2 linked regions of the Diceros bicornis minor genome follow. The protein of the gene in region 1 interacts with the protein of each later gene in a pairwise test. Links are inferred from orthologs where the notes say so. Each region holds a gene or a part of one and is shown on either strand. Other genes may lie near its edges.

Region 1 (9,321 bases):
GTTCAAGACGGGAGAGTAGAGCGGGTCTGATGATTCAAAATCCAACAGATAATGGAATATCATTCAGCCGTAAAAAGGAAGGAAGTACCAATCCACGCTACAATATGGTGAACCTTGAAAACATTACGCTAAGTACTAGCGAAAGTAGCCGGTCACAAAAGGTCACATATTGTGTGATTCCACTTACATGAAATGTGCAGAACAGGCAAATCCATAGAGACAGAAAGTAGATTAGCGGCTGCCAGGGGCTGAGAGGAGGGGCAATGAGAAGTGATTGCTTAGTGGGTATGGGGTTCCCATTCAGGGTGATGAAAAAATTTTGGAACTAGACAGTGGTAATCATTGTGCAACATTGTGAATGTCCTGAATGTCACTGACTTGTACACTTGAAAATGGTTAAAATGGTAAATTCTACGTTATGTGCATTTTACCACAATAAAACAAATCAAACAAAAACAATACTCCAATGTATTTGAATAAGAGTCAGAAATGGAGATTTTAAGAAAAACAGAGCTCTGTGGAAATGATGAAATATACCCCCATGGGGAGCAGGATGGACAGATATCAAGCTGGGTAAGTATAAGACGTCTGTTTTCTTTTTTTCTTGAAATACAATTGACACATAACATTGTGTAAGTTTAAGGTGTACAGTGTGTTGGTGTGATACATTTATGTATTGAAATATTACCACAGTAGCGTTCGCTAACAGCTTTATCATGTCACATATTTATTTTTTCTTTTTTGTGTTGAAGACAGTTAAGATTTAGTCTCTTAGCAACTTTGAAGTTTGTAATGCAGTACTGTTGACTATAATCACTATGCTGTGCATTAGATCTCCAGAACTTATTTTTCTACTAGTTGTAAGTCTGTACCCTTAAACCACATCTCTCCAATTCCCCTACCCCCCAGCTCCTGGTAACCACCACTCTACTCTCTATTTTTACAAGTTCCAGATGTCTATTTTCTTATACCAACTTCACGCCTTGTCTTTATATCCTCAAGGTTCCAAAAAAGGAAAAGTAAAACCCATGGAAAAAATATGAGAATATTGCACCATACTATAATAACTTGTCGATGCAAATCATACATGAGTTGTATCAGAGAAGAGAGAAAGAGAAAGAAAGAACAAGGAAAATTTTAAATATTTGAATTGATTAGGTATTTTGAGGAGAATGGATAGGTCTCCCTGTTTCTTGGGGTAAAAGTTATTTAGGTTGATTCTAGACTTTGCTGCAATGAATATCCTTGTGAATACTTTTTACACTCACGGGAGTATTTCTGTACAGCATATAAATTCCTAGAAGTAAGACCAGGAAAAAGGGTCAATGTGATTTACATGTTGAAAGTCATTGCCAAATCACCTCCCATTGGATTGAACTAATTTATACCAGTGATTATGAGAATGTCTGTTTTCTCACAAACCTTCATATTATGTTACCTTTTTTTCTGATTGTTGATAAACTCAGTAAAAATGACATGGACATATCTCTAACCATGAGGAAGCCTGAACATCCTTTCATATGTTTAAATACCTTTTGTATTTCTCTTTTTTTTCCTTTTCAGTGGTCTGTTTCTGTGAGCTGCCTATTCATATCCTTTGCCATTTTAATTTTGGCAAACAAGAGTTTGCTTTTTTCCTCATTGAAAAAAATTAATATTATGTATTGTATATTACAAAATATCATATAATGCATGCCCTTTATCTGTCACTTAAAGGATATATATTTTTCTCACTTTAAAAAATCTGACTTGTGATTTTATGTGTGAATATTTTTTCAATTCATATGCTCTTAATTTTTATATAGCTAAATTTGTTATATTTAAATTTCAGATTTGGGATTTGTGTTTTGCTTCAAGAGACATTCCCCACTTTGAAATTATAACACAAAATTTCTGCATTGTAGAGTCTTATGGTTTCATTTTTGAATAGCTATGGAATTCAGCAAATACATTTTTAGTAGCATAGAGATGCTCATGCACCTTCCTTCCTTGGATCTATGAATACAGTGAGCTGGATGGCTCGACTTCCGGGCATTGAACTATCTTTGCACTCCTGGTCCAAGTTTCACTTGCTCCTGGTGTTGGTGTTGTGTTCATTTCATCTTCTGTCTGGTTCTGTTAGTAAATTCTTGATGCTGGATTTTTGCACTGTTACTCACAAGTGAAATCAATCTGTAGGTTTTTTTTCCCCCCATTCCTAAATGTAATGTATTAAAGCAGTTTCCATGACAACACAGGAGTCAGCATTTACATTTGGTTTCCTGCTTTAATGAAATGGAAAACAGCTAGTTTGAGGGAGATTATGCCAAAAGGATCTGCTAAAGGAAGACCCCAGTGGGCTGGTGGTGAGGTCTCCCGGAGCCCTCTGTGACAGGCAACAAAAGTCGAGAATATGCTGCTATATCCATGAACCACAGAACGGTATCTCTCTTTAGATGATGCATTCAGAGGACAATGTGTTTAAATGTCAGACCAAAGACAGTCTAAGAAAAACAAAGCAAAGCAAGAAGCCCCAAATGGTTTTTCAAAACTTTTTAAACTTTTTATATTGACATGATGTCAGATTCCCAGAAAAGTTGCATGAATAGTACAATGAATCCCCGTGTGCACACTCTTTATCACATTTACCAATTTTATCACACTTGATCACATCTGCTTCGTCCTCTCTTTCTCTGTCTCATTTTGTTTTGTTTTCTTTCTTTTTTTATTGCAGTAACATTGGTTTATAAGGTTATATAAATTTCGGGTGTATATCATTATATTTCGATTTCTGCCTAGATTACATCATGTTCACCACCCAAAGACTAATTACCATCCATCATCACACACATGTGCCTAATCATCCCTTTCACCCTCCTCCCTACCCCCTTCCTCTCTAGTAACCACCAATCCAGTCTCTGTCTCTACGTGTGTGTTTGTTGTTGTTTCATTTTTTTTTGGAACCACGTGAGAGTAAGTTGCAGACATAATGTCCCTTTCCCCTACATCCTTCATTCAGTGTGAATTTCCTCAAAGCAGAGGCAGTCTCTTACATCACCTCAGTACAACGATCAAAATTAATATTGATACAATACTATTATCAAATTGACAGACCTAATTGTCCCAGTAATGTCTTTCACTACGCAAGAAAATCCAGGAGCAAATTTGATCACTTAATTAAGGTGGTTTCTGCCAGCTTCCTCTTCTCTGAGGCTACTATTTTTGGTTTCTTTTATTATTGACAAGTATCTGGCAGAGAGATACTTGGAGACCATGGAGATGTCCTGTTACTTCTCAAACTTCCAACCATTAGTTTTAGCATTCGTTGATGGTTCTTGTCTGAATCAATGATTTTGGAGATTGGCAAATGGTGATTTTCTACTTCCATTCCAAGGATTTTAACAAAAGGCAGAGGTTGACTTTCAATTTTTAGGTGCTTGGTTTTTTTTCGGGGGTGGGAGCGCGGTGATTAGCAAAAGAAACAATGAGTGGTTTTGCGAAGTGGTGGTGTCTTAATTTTCTCCTACCAAGTCACAACTGAAATGATTCTTTTGACTTTCTACCCAACAGGGAAGTCCTGCGTCCTGAAGGATTTCCAGAGGACAGCATCTCCCCTCTCATGCCTTTTCAGCACAGGCTGCCTGCCTAGAATTGTGGTGGGCTTGGGGCTCCCGTGGGTCAGAAGGAAGCCCACAGCTCCGGACAGGTTTGCACAAGAAGGAAGGGGAAAGATATTTATTGAATGCACAATTCTCGACACCCCAGGACTGCAGCTGCCTTCTTTTTGTTCTCCCTGGGTCCATTCTTGCCCCATCGAAGACAGTGAGATACTATTGGAAATAAAATCTAATTATGTTAACCCTTTGATGTAAATTGTGCCTCTTCATTGCCTTTAGGGTAAAGGTGGAGGCGGTGGGAGGGATGCTTAATGGAATATCCAAGGTTGCACCCCTTCTAGTCCTGCCTTTGAGTTCAGCCTTCTCTCTTCTCTTTCCGTGCTCCAGCTCCAGTGACTGGTTCAGTTGCGAGAACACCTGCCTGTCCTCCTCTGTGCCTTTGCACATGCTGTTCCCTCTACGTGGAACACTGATGCTCCCGTTGACTGGCTCCTCCTCCTCCTCTTCAGATTTCAGCTCCAAATCACTTCCTCGGAGCATCCTTCCCTATCCCCTCTGCCCCACCTTATAACACGGATGATTGTTTAACTAACGCGACCCCCCACCCCCACAGTGAAGTCTACAAGGAAACGCACTGTGCTTATTTTGCTCACTGTGAATCCCTCTTACTTACTGTGTGTTGACTCTTCCATTCAACAAATATTTATTACGCAACGGATATGTCAGGCACTGGGTGTGAAATAGTGAACAAGACTGGCAAGATTTCTGCTTTCATGGGGAGGGGCGAAGAGACAAAAAAAAAAAATAAGTAAGAATTTCAGGTAGAGATGCTGGTGTAATATGAATCTCGGGGAAGGGAACAAAGAAACGAGCGGCTGGCTCTGGTCAGGGAAGGCTCGCAGGAGAGGAGAGGTGGAGCCCGGCACTGGACGGACAGGGGAAGGGGGGAACGCCAGGGTAAAGGCCTGGAGGCAGGAATAGGTTTGGCGTCTTGGAGAAACAGCGGGCCCAGCTCCTGAAAATGAATGCCCTCCGCCTAGAATTGTGTGGAGTGCTTTCCCAGGCTGTCTTCCCCGTGCGCTTCCCCAGATTTGACACGCAGGTATTGTTACATCCATTACACAGGTGAGGCCACCCCGGAGAGAGTGAGGTCCCTCCGTCCAAGGCCTCACACAGTAAGGCTTCCTGTACTCTTTCTGGCTTCCTGTACTTAGGGCCCCTCCCCCCCTTCAGTAAGGTGGGTTGACCATTGTCATGCCCTATTCATGAGTGACATCTGCTAGACATTCAGACACACATGAACTTTGGGTCTGCGGATTCAAAATCGGGTGTGTCCACCTGCGCGGGATCCAGGGTCTAGTTTGCATTTTTGGGAGGTTCTGCACATTCTCCCCGGTTTCATTTCTCCAACTGGAACCCCACGCCGCGCTGAGGGGCCCCGGCCACGGAGCACGCCGAGCGCACGGGGCGCGCGTGCACGTGGCTGTCCCCAGGGTCCCGGCGCTGGGCGGGGGCGCACTCGGGGCAGGACATCTGGGGCGCCCGCGCTCTAGGACGAGACTCACTGATAGGCCTGAGACGAGGGAGAGGCGAGTGCAACATTTAAGGGAGTACCGAAAAACCGAGTGACCAAGATAAATAATATTTTAATGTAATATTTTTAAAAAGCAAAATGAATACCCCACAGTCCACGAGGAACAAAATAGGAAAATGTTAAAGACGGGATCGGTCTGGCTGGCTCCGGCATCTGGGGCGCCCCCAAGCTCTGAGACCAGAGACGCGGGCTGTCTGGAGCACTCGGCCCGGGCGGGGATCTGGGGCGCCCCCTCGGCTGGGGCGCGCCAGGGGCCTCCAGCGCGGGGCCCAGAATAGGGAGGCCAGCGGACGGGGCGGGGCGGCGCCTCCCTCTGCGCGTCCTCCCTCCACCCCTCCTGGGCCTCTCCCGGGCGCCGAGTCCCTTCCGAGTCCCGATCCGCGCCGCCTTTTGCCGCGGCCCGCACGGGGCCCAGCTGACGGCCGCGTTGTTTACGGGCCGAGCAGCCTTCGCTCCCGCCGCCCGCCCGCCACCCGCCTGCCCAGGTGCCCGCCCGCCCGTCCGCGCGTCCGGCTGTCTGCGCGTCCGTTTGTCCGCGCGTCCGCAGATCGTGGCCAAGAGCGCTCGGGGCCGAGAGCCAGGAAGCCCGGGCGCAGCGCGAGGCTCCGGGCCCTGAGATCGCGGGACGGGACCCGGGCCTCAGTAGCCCGGGGTCGGGGCCGCCTCCGCCGAGCCGCGCCGCCGGATTTGTAGCGGCCGAGGCCGCGCGCCCCTCCGGGGGCTGATTCAAGGAGCCTCCCGGGCGGGGGCTGCGACCCGAGGGCCGCGGGCGTGGAAGAAAAGGACGCGCGGCCCCCAGCGCCCCTCGGGCGGCCACCTCGGAGCATGACCCTCGCGGGCCGGCGCCGCGCGCTCTGATCCGTCGGGACCCCGCGCTCCCGCAGCCATGGGCGCCGGGGGCGGGCGGGGGGCGGCGGCCGCGCCGTTGCTGGTGGCCGTGGCCGCGCTGCTGTTGGGCGCCGCGGGCCACCTGTACCCCGGAGAGGGTGAGTCTGGGGTCCGGGAGTGGGCGGGGAGTCGCGCGGTGGGGAGGCGATCCCTCGCCAAAATGGAGCCCCAGCTGTGGACCAAGAGCCGTCCCGGGTGGGGAGGTGGGTGGCCGGGGCGGTCACTCTGGTCCCGCGGGGGGCGGGAAGCCGCTGACCTTGGTCTTTGCCCGCCTGGGCTCACGGCTCCGCGCCCCGCGTGCCGGCCCCGGGCTGGAGCAACCTTGCGCCAGTGCCTGCTCTGCCGCGGGCGCCTCTCCGGAGCGCGCCTCGGACCCGTGCCTGGCTCTCTCCGTCCCCAAGTCGCTCCGGAGAGGGGATACACGTCCTCTCTGGGTCGCCTCCGAGAAGTGGGGTCCCTGGGTCCGGGCGGCCACGGACAGCCAAATGCGCGGGGCGCACACGGTTAGGAGCCGGAGTCGAGGGTGACAGACTGGGGGTCCCTTGGGGTCGCTGCTGCTAGGTGACGCTGCCCCGGGGAGGGGAACTGTAGAATCCCTCCATCCCCTTCCTGGGATCGAGGCCCGTGGCTACCCCGGACTTCAGGTCCATGTTTACACTTTGGGATTCTGTTTCCAGATGTCCGGAGGCAAACTCCGGCGCCTTGGGAACAGCACAGTTATAGTAGCAGAAGGAGTGGACGTTTTTATCATGATTATTATAGTGGGTGTCACCGAATGTCACGGGCTGCGCCATCCTATCTCTCTGGACCCTCAGAGTGGCCCCTAAAGGTTGACGCTGTTGTTCGCCCATTTCATAAAGGAGTAAACTGAGGCTCAGAGAGGACGCATAACTTACTGCCCCAAGTCAGTGCCAGAGGGAGGGCTGGAACCTCTCTGTGTGGTGCCCGCCCAAGGCTCTGGACTGCTGCCGGGGCTCCCTGCTAACCTCCCCCTCCAGCTCCGCCCGTCATGAAGCGGTCTTTTGCCGTCAGACTTGGGAGGTCTCTAACCTTGGATGAGCCTCTCATGCGCCCTAACCCCGAGGGCCTCCCTCCTGCGTGTCCCTGTGTGGCAGCAGACAGAGGCCAACCCCAACCCCAGCATGCTTCTGCGGCTTGACAGCAGGCCTTTCTGGTTGTGGGACAAGGACTGAAGAATCGTTTAAGAGAAGATGGCTGGAGATTCTCACCGTGGTGTCTGAGGCTGTGCTTTAAAAATATCTGTTGGGTTACTTCTTCAGATTTCTCCATAAAAGGAAATCAGTCATGATGAGGAAGGGGTTGGGGAGGAAAAAGAGGCTCCTTGAGTTCCCTGATGGTGAGTGAGGTGTGGGAGAAAGCATACACAGGCTCAGGAGTTGAAAACCAGGTTTGCTGAGCGCCTCTGCCAATTACGCAATGTCTTGATGCCCCCGTATGCCTGGTGTACAGTGAGCGCTCAATGAAGGAAGGATGGCAATTGGTTTAGGTTCTTGTTAAGAAAATCCAAGACAAGTTGTCAGACCTACGCCAGGCTTTGTGGTTGTGTGTGTGTATGCATGTGTGTACGTGTGGTTCCCTGTTCCTCTGTTCCTTGTGGCTTTGGTAATTAATTGTGGATTTACGCCTGGGCTTCCAGGAGTGAACAGATGGATTTACCACTTGGTTACACATTTACAGTTCCCACAAGGGCAGAGGCTTATGTGTATTTCATTCACTGCGACATTTCTAGAGCCTAGAACGGTGCCTGGCACACAGTAGGCATCTGGTAAATATTTCTTCTTGATTCAACTCTTTTCCTTCATGTCCTCACTAGTCCACCAAGCCACTGCTCCTTTATTCTCCAGATAATACCTAACTAACAAGAATAAAAGGAAACACTCAGTGGGAGCTGTGCCATATGCTTTGCATATATAATCTCAGTTAATTCTCACCATGACCCTATGAGGTAGAGTCTGCCCTCTCTTTTTGCAGGCGAGCAACTTGACCTGGTTACAGAGCTGGAATTAGAGCCCCAGCTTGTCTGGCTGCAGAGCACTGGCTTCTCAATAAAAGGTTGTTCATTGGGGTCCCAGCCTCCCCATCCCTACCCTGCGGTAATGGTTAACAAAATCCTATCAAATACATGAGATGTGAGGCCCCTCAGAGGTTTGGAGAGGGGCGAGAAAGTTTACAGATCATTAATCTCTTACATCAACTGACACGACATTTTGGCGGGGCTGGGCGGTGGAGGGAGATCAATGTGATTTTTCAGGAATGAAGGACTCTTTCTTGGAGATGTTGTATGGGATGTTCCACCCTGGTTCATTCTCCTGTGGCGTCTCTGTTGCTTTGCTGAAGAGGGCAATGGCTTTCCCCGCCATTTCTCCTTGGATTGGCTGGCTCTGGTCTGAGATTACTTGGGCGTGGGGTGGGGGGATTGCAAAGCCAGAGAGTGAAGGCAGTGTGGGATTAATTAAAATGAAAACCCACAGAGTTTTAGGGGGGTCCAGTGAGTTGAATAATTGAGGTATGAGATGCTCGCTTCCAGAGCCCCCTCGTTTCTCAGATCCCCCTCGTTTCTGGAGGATGGCATGAGATGTTTCTCTTGTGTGTTCTCTTGTGTGTCCTGGGACCCTTGGAGCAGAACTTCTGCCTGCTCAGTCACCTCCCTGGGGTTACTCCTAACCTCTGCTTCTCTCCTGGAGACTTGCCGTTCATCCCTGCCCCACTGACTTATGGAGGTCATGGGGTTGAGCCCCCTGGGGTCTCCACCTCACCCCACTCCATTGTTGACTTCCATTCTTTTTTTTTTTTTAAGAGTTTTATTTATTTATTTATTTTTTGTGAGGAAGATCAGCCCTGAGCTAACATCCGTGCTAATCCTCCTCTTTTTGCTGAGGAAGACGGGCTCTGAGCTAACATCTATTGCCAGTCCTCCTCCTTTTTTTTCCCCCCAAAGCCCCAGTAGATAGTTGTATGTCATAGTTGCACATCCTTCTAGTTGCTGTTGACTTCCATTCTTAATTTGGTTTAGAGCAGAACCTCTCAGGCTCGGTGCTCCTGGCATTTGGGGTTGGATACTTCTTGGTTGTGGGGGGCCATCCTGTGCATTGGAGGATGTTGAGTAGCATCCCTGGTCTCTACCCACTAAGATGCCAGTGGCCCCTCCCCTCTCCAAGTCATGACAACCAACAGTGTCTCCAGACATTGCTAGCGGTCCCCAGTTGAGAACCACTGCGTTCG
Region 2 (8,323 bases), on another chromosome or scaffold:
CAGTGCAGTTGCTGCTTGGGGTGGGTGGGGCTTTGGGCACTTGCCCGGCCCAGTTACCGTGTGGCTGCTGTGCAGGGAGGGCAGGGTGCAGGGTGCTCACCTGTCCTGGTTGTGGCGCAGCTGCTGTATGGAGTGGGCAAGGTGCAGAGCATGCTCACTGGTGTTAACAGGTTTAAGGACGGGCACCAGAAGTGGCGTCTGCCAGCTCCGTCATGATGAAGTTAGAATGAGATTGTGAAAATGACATCCACCAGTGTTTCTGTCTCTGGAGAGATTTTCTGCAGGTCCCTGCCTCTCCATCAGCCACTGTAGGATTGGTAAGTGGGTCTCCCTCACTTATGCTCTAGGCGCTTTTCAAACTGTTGCTTTTGCACTGGATCTCAAGGCAAGTGTGTCTACACAAGCCCTGTAAGAGCAGATTCTCCATTTCCTACAGTTCCGTGTTTCCCCTGGACTTAATCCCTGTTGATTTTCAAAACTAGATGTTTTGCAGGCTTGTCTTTCTGGTGGCAGGCTCAAGGATCAGAGTGCCTGATGTGTGGCACAATCCCTTCAATCCTCAAGGGAAAGTTCCATATTTACAGATCCCTTCCTGATTGTGGGACATCACACTGGGATGGGCTCCCGGCCGAGACCAAGTCTCTGCTTCTCCTACCCTTCTTGATGCATCTCTTTTATCTTTGCTGCAGAGGTGCTGTTTGTCCAGTTCTCAGGTCCTTTTCAGAGGAAAATTATTCCATATGTAGCTGTAAATTTCTTGTATCTGTGGGAGGAGGTGAGTTTAGGGCCTTCCTGCACTGCCATCTTGAACCTCTCCCTAGAATCGTTAAGAGTTATCATGATAAATAAGAAATAGAACAGGTTCAGAGTTTGGGCAGCTCTTCCTAATATCCCATAGCTTTGAACAACTCTACTCTGTATTACAGGCTTGCCACCTTGGAGTTATCTGCACTACCATTTCATTCTTCCTCCATATCAGTCATCAACTCAATTCTTGTTTTAAAATGTCTTGCTCTGATGCGGTACCTTCTTTTTTTGGGGGGGGAGGAAGATCAGCCCAGAGCTAACAACCATGCCAATCATCCTCTTTTTGCTGAGGAAGACTGGCCCTGAGCTAACATCTATTGCCAGTCCTCCTCCTTTTTCTCCCCAAAGCCCCAGTAGAAAGGTGTATGTCATAGTTGCACAGCATTGTAGTTGCCGTATGTGGGACGCCGCCTCAGCATGGCTGGACGAGCTGTGCGTCGGTGCGCACTTGGGATCCGAACCCAGGCCTCCAGTAGTGGAGCACATGCACTTAACCGCCAAGCCACAGGGCCAGCCCCTGATGTGGTGCCTTCTTATTCAAACTCTCTGGCATCCATCTAGGCCAGGCTCTCAACCTCCTAGGCCTGCATGGCTAAAATATCCATCATAGTCTACTGCTTTTCAAAAAGTGATTTAAGAACTTGCATCAGAATCATTTGGGACGCTGGTTAAAACACGTCATCTCTTAAACCCCATAAAGTAGACCAGCACCGTCCAATAGAAATATAACATGAGTGACATATGTAATTTTAAATGTTCTGGTAGTCAGATTAAAAAGCTAAAAAGACACAAGTGAAATTATTTTAATAATATGTTTTATTTAATCCAATGCATGTAAAATATCATTTCAATATGTAATTAATTAAAAAACATATCAATGTAATTCTTTACATTCTTTTTTTATCGTCTCTGAAATCAGGTATTTCATACTTGTAGCATATCTCAGTTCAGACCAGCACATTTTAAATGCTGAAGCAGCCACCCATGGCTAGTAGCTGTGGTACTGGACTGACTCAGGCTTGGAGAAGGGGGAATAGAAGCCAGGAAAATACATATTTAGCAAAATACCCAAGTGATTCTTTCACATTCTTAAGTTTGAGGACTACCACTCACAGTCGTCCTGTACACAATCATTTCTACAACCATTACTGAATTTACACCTGAGAAAATGTCCCGCTAATCATTTCAATCCTAAGAACCTAGAAATCCCTGGTACTTCCAGTTCAATCAACATAGATGGGTATTCAGAGCTCCCTAAATGTGGCCTCACCTCATCCATCCAAGCTGCTCTCCAATGGGAAAATGTTTTCGGTTCTTCTGTCAAGTTTTCCTAGGAAACTATTCAAATGCTCATTCCTTCAACAAATATTTGTGGAGCACCCACCAAATATCATCATGGATCCTCCACCAAAACAGGGAAGATGGAACTCAAATCATTCTATAATCATAACAAGGTAATTATTTTCATTCTGACCTTGAAAGCAATGCTCTGAAATAGCACTATGAAATGCTATGAAAATGCCTAAGAGCAGGACCTTATAGTCTGAGGGGTCAAAGAAAATTTCTTTAATACAACATTTAAGTTAAAAAAAGAATATAGGGGCTGGCCCCATTGCCTAGTGGTTAAGTTCGGTGCGCTCCACTTCCGCGGACTGGTTCAGTTCCTGGGCGTAGACCTATACCACTCATCAGCAGCCATGTTGTGGCAGCATCCCACATATAAAATAGAGGAAGACTGGCACAGATGTCAGCTGAGGGTGAATCTTCCTCAGCAAAAAAAAAGAGAAGAATATAAACATAACTTGAAATTTGAACAGATAAAATGAAATTTCTAAGCAGAGGAAAGCACATTATGAAAAACCCTGAGATGGAAAAGTTACTAAAGGATCAGGCAGACTAGGAAAGTACAGGGCTGCCCAGGTAGGCAGAAGGCAAGTAAGGTCAAATTTGTAAGCCTTTAATTTTTCTTTTTTTTTCCCCTTAAGTATGCATATTTAATCAAAACTAGATTATAAACTCAAAAAGCACAGACCACACCTTCTAAGCCTTAATTATTTCTTATATCTCCTCACAGAGCACAAATAAAGTATTTAAAAAATACTTCATCTATACATGGAAAAATACATTTTGCTAGCCTTTTAAATTCTAGAATCTCCAAAATTATACTAACAATTATTTGCATCTTCAGCTAATTTACAAGCTATATTACTATGAAACCTAAGGAAGTCTTTCCTGAATTGCTGAGTATTAACATAAAGTTCCTTAGAAAGAGAGACAATTTGTATACACAGTAAGGTAGCATTGCACTCTAACTCAAGTTCCTGGTGCAAGGAGTGAAAAGATGGTGATTTACACACACAGATACACACACGTACCACAGAGACTGAAGGATGTAAGGAAAATATTTTGTTGGGTCGTCAGCCTCTTACTTATTATACCTATGTTTTAATCTTCAAAGTGATCAAAATCTGATATATAACTGTGATAGGCAGAATTCTAAGATGGCCTCCAAAATTCCTGGTCTCTAGGGAGCACATCCTATATAACTCCTCTCCCTTGAGCGGGGCCAGAACCTGTGAATATGAGGGCCTATCACTTCTGGGATTACGTTCATCAAAGGAGAAACTGTTTGACCGGGTCTGACCTAGTCAGGCAAGCCCTTAAAAGGGAACTCCCTGAAGTCAGGGAGACTACAAGTGTGAGAAGGCTTACTGTACCTGGCAAAGGCACAAACCTGGCCTCTGGCCAACAGCTGGCAAGACAAAGAACCACAAGGACGTTAATCCTGCCAACCACCAAGGGGCTTGGAAGAGGACCCCAGCCCTTAGACGAGATCCCACGCACAGACGCCTTTATTTCAGAACACTCAGCTAGGCCACGCCCAGACTCCTGACCTACGGGACTGACATAATAAACGCCTGTTCACACCACTAATTCGTGGTAATTTGTTCTGCAGCAATAGAAAACTAATACACTCAGCCATTTCTCATATAATTAAATAACACAGTATGTCTGGTACAGTTTTTCAGACTGCATTTTACAAATAATCTTTCCACCTGCTACAAGAATAAACTCGTTTCACAACGGCCATGAACATTAATTGTGCACCATCTCCTTTATACCTCTCATCCTAACATGAAGTCATTGAATTTGTGCGTCAAAATCCACGGAAAAGTTCTTCAGTGTTGAGGGGCCTTTTTGGCGAGGTGACCTTGTTCCTGACCAGCCGCCTGCGGGTGGGCAGGGCGGACGGAGAGCAAGCTGCACCCCCAGCCGCCCCAGACTCGGCCGCGCAGGGGGCTGGGGGTGGAGGCGGGCGGAGCCCAGGGCAGACGCAGACTAGGCAGAAAAACGGCTGCGGTTCGCCCCTTTGGCCCCCACCCCAGTTTCTCGGGAAAAGCCGCGCTCCCACAGCCATCGAGGCCTCTAAAGCCGAGGCTCGGCTGTGCGCCGCTGCCTTCCGAACTCCCAACGTGTCCAGCCCAAGTCTCAGCCCTCCACTAGGGATCCCTGGGGAGTTCATATCATTTTGAAAATATCTTCCGAACGCAGAATCTGTGCTCCTCGGTCGCTCAGTCTGCAGGCCTAGGGAGCGGCCAACAAGACCGGGACGTGCCGTCTTCCTCCCTCCGCTCCACCTAGCCGACCGCAACGGGAACTGCCCGCAGACACCCACCGGGTTAGGACGCCCGGCACAGCGTGACCACGCTGACCCACTGCGCCTGCGCCCGTCGCGGGGGCGGGGCTTAGAGGCTGGTCGCGCCTGCGCGAAGGGCCCGACGGCGTGCTGCGTCGTTACTTTTGAAACGAGTGGCGGGCAACTGCTGCGAGAGCCCCTGCTGCTCCTGCCCCCCCGAGGAAGCGCGCGCCTCCGTCTGTGGCCTGGCCATGGCGTTGCAGCTCTCCCGGGAGCAAGGCATCACCCTGCGCGGGAGCGCCGAGATCGTGGCCGAGTTCTTCTGTGAGTCCTCCTGGCGGAGGCCGGGGGCGGGGAGGCCGGGGCAGGCCGCCCGGTAGGCCCGCGGCTCGGCTCCGCGGCGGGGAAGCCGGGGGGCCCGCAGCGGCCGCGAACTCGAGCCCTGTCTGTCCCGGCCTCCCGTCCGGCCGGAGGAATCTGGGGAGAGGCGGGTGCGGGCGTCTCCCCCGGCCGCGGTGCTAATGGCGGAGGAGGAGGCCTCGGTGCTGCGGCGGCCTGCCTCGCCGGGTACGGCCCCTGCCCTGGGGCGGTTCTTTAAAGTGCAGATCCGTGTCTGCCCCCCCGCCGCCCCAGGGCCTTGGGACGTAATGCGACCGGGGCGGGGGGCACGTGTGGGTGATTCTGGGGTTGGCGGTGATGCACTCGACTTTGGGAAGCGCTGTTCTGCACCTGGCCGGTCCTTCCTTCTGTTAGAACCTGGCAGGACTTGTGAGAGGAAAAGGAGGAAAAAGACAGAGAGAGGTTTGCCCGGGGCCTTGGACCAGCCAGTCAGTTGCTAACGCGCGCCGAAGCCTCTTTGACATCCCCGAACCACATAATCTGAATTTGGACTTGGATTACAATGAAATGAAATTTGGCAGTGGTAGATTAATGCAGTTTGGCATTTTTCTTTTATTGCCACAAAATGCAGGCATTGCTTTCTCTCTTTTACTTAGAAGCAAGACTTCAAGGATTTTTAATGAAATTTTGTACCTACTGTGCTTTCAGCAAGACCCGCACAAACACGTCTGTTCAGGCATTTACAGACATACCATTAATGAAACCAAAGCCAGATCTAAATGTTTTGTTTTCCCGAGTTACAAAGTGATAATAAGTTCAACATTTTTTTTCTTTTCAGCATTTGGCATCAATAGCATTTTATATCAGCGTGGCATATATCCATCTGAAACCTTTACTCGAGTGCAGAAATATGGACTCACCCTGCTTGTAACTACTGATCCGGAGCTCATAAAATACCTCAATAATGTGGTGGAACAACTAAAAGGTATTCAGTTGTTGGAAACGGTTTTGAGTTTTGCAGGCCTTCTAGAATCCACATTTTCTAGCGTCTTGGTGGTCATCTTTCAGCTCTGTACATAGGGTTGTAAAACACACTACCATCTCAGATATACTGACTCAGCTGGGAGGAAGCAAACAATGTAAATTGAAAGAAATCCCACCCTTCCCCCACCACATTTTGAGTGAGCTGAATATTTTGATGTGAGGAATCTGAGACGGCTTAACAAGACAGCCTCCATCAACTCCCTTAGAAATGACTCGTGCAATTCATGTGGCCAAATGGAGCAAGTTGGAATTTTACATAATTATGATGGTGTTCATTATCTGAGAAAAATCCACTATACATTCTTAATATTATATATATTCTGTAGCTGCTTGGAGTCTAAAGTTGTCATTATTAAGATCAAGGAAATAAAATTGGATTCAACGTGGGAACTAAACTTAAAAAAAGAAAAAAAAAAAGAACAAGTACTAAATAGTAGAGCCCAGTAGAGTTTTCTTGTTTTTCACCTGTTTCCATTTGTCTTTTTTAAAAATCTTGCCTGTGAGTCAGTAAGCTTTTTCTATCTGAACACTCATTTTTTTTAGCTCAAGAAGTTGCTGTATTGTTGGATCAATACTTGTTTTCCATCTATTCCTTTTTTTCCTTCCTCTAGAATTCCTATTAGTTTCTCTTTTATGTTTCTCAACACTTAGGATTCTTTTAATTTTTCTGTGTTGTAAAATGTTCCCATTTGATAATCCAAAATACTAGTTCCAAAACACACTACAGTGGTCATCTTTTTTTTTTTAATTTTTAAATTCATGAATCTCATATATATATTGTTTCAAGTAGCTTCATTTTTAAAATTACATTATTGTATTTTTATTAACTTCAGAGCTAAATTACCCATAGTTTCCCATACTTATTTATAGGGCTATACTCAGATTATTTGGCCTGGAAACCTCTAGGCAACTATAGAGCTGTGTCTTCATCTTAATTTGATGAAGAAGCAATACTTACCTAAGCTACTGGTGTTTTGGATTGTCTCCTTTGAGACACCTCAGATGTATCTAGACCATCCTATTTAACTTCTTCCTTTTAGTTTAGTTAAAATGGAGGAATTGCTCTCCTTAGAGGCAAATTGTTCAATCTGTTTTGAATCCCATCCCTCTAGCCTTCTGAGGGACTTTATCCTATGTTTTCTGTTGTATTTTCGACTTCTTTGTTTTGATTTGGATTATTCCCGTTGGTTTCATCTCTCTCCAATTTTAAAGAAAAATTACCACCTACCTCAAATCTTCAAATTACCACCTAATCTCCTCCTTTTCAGAGCTAAACTGAGAAAAAGTTGTTGATATATGCCAGGGGTCAGCGAGAATATTTTTACGTTTTTAAAGAGTTGTTTTGAAAAGAATATGCAACAGAGACCTAGGTGGCCCACAAGCCTTAAATATTACTGAATTATTTTGTCTCTTTAAAAAAAAAACCTGCTGATTCCTGGATATACTATCCCAATTTCCTAGATTTATTCAGGGGTCAATTGCAGGCCCTCTTCTCACTATAATCTCTCTCTCGATGATCTCTGACACGTTCCTAGCTCCATTAACAACATCTGTATAGTTGACTCACAAACTTACATCTAACCCAAGTCTTTCTGAACTCTAAGCTCATATATCAAGTGGCTCTCTTGATATCTTCATGTGGCTGTCTCAGGGATACTTCAAACTCAGCATATTAAAAACTAAGTTTAGGATCATCTCCATTTCACTTCTCTTTCCTCTCTGAATGGACAGCCACCCAACTATTGATGTAAGCCAGGAACCTGGGAGCTGTCCCCAACTCCTTCCTCTTCCTTACTCTCATAGGTAATCCAATAAATCTGAAGCATTATAACCACAAAATCTCTTGACTCTGTCTACTGCTCCATCTCTACCAGTTTATCCTCCTACAAGCTTTCGTTACCTCTTGTTTTAATTACTAATTAACTAGTGTCCCTAGATCCCCTCTTTACCTCCAGTTCCCTTTCTATATCACAGCCAGACTTGATGGTTTTGAAATACAAGTCTAATTACCTCACACCGAGCTTCAAACACAGTAATGACTTCCCTGGTTCTTAAAGTATAATTTCTTTAATTTGGCCCACGTGGCCTTGTCTGGCCCTATGCATCTGGCCAGACTTACCTTGTTCTTTCTCCCTTGCTTAACTGCAGTTGTATTGGCCTCCTTGCAGTCCTCTGGGCAGATGCTCTTCCCTTTTGAGTGTTTGTACAATTATAGTTTCACATGTGTTGGTGCAGTGATGAGGTTAATGCCTGGCTCCTGCACTCTAACCTTGGATTAAGATGGAAGTACTGGATGTTCACTACTCTCCTCAGCACCCACCACTATACCTGGTACAAACACGGAGAATTTGAAAACAGGAGCAGTGATGGGGCAGTGTTTCTGTGCAGGTTGGAGGAGTTCCAAAATACCAGTGGTAAGAATTTGCTGATAGGAGGTGGGACCTGAGAAGTGAGTTGATTTGTAATGCAGTGGACCAAAAAAGATGCCTTGTTGTA

The links.
Region 2: the proteins of INSR (region 1) and MAD2L1 interact in binary tests that used the Homo sapiens proteins (3 or more experiments, as listed by UniProt). The link is inferred for Diceros bicornis minor from reciprocal best matches to the Homo sapiens genes INSR and MAD2L1.

Annotation. Positions count from the first base shown.
Region 1 is NW_026691615.1:1,130,310-1,139,630, forward strand, and holds the start of INSR (insulin receptor), read left to right. Parts: upstream 1-5,692; 5' UTR 5,693-6,076; coding exon 6,077-6,176; intron 6,177-9,321. UniProt on the Homo sapiens protein: Receptor tyrosine kinase which mediates the pleiotropic actions of insulin.
Region 2 is NC_080750.1:13,586,073-13,594,395, reverse strand, and holds the start of MAD2L1 (mitotic spindle assembly checkpoint protein MAD2A), read left to right. Parts: upstream 1-4,611; 5' UTR 4,612-4,695; coding exon 4,696-4,768; intron 4,769-5,621; coding exon 5,622-5,768; intron 5,769-8,323. UniProt on the Homo sapiens protein: Component of the spindle-assembly checkpoint that prevents the onset of anaphase until all chromosomes are properly aligned at the metaphase plate.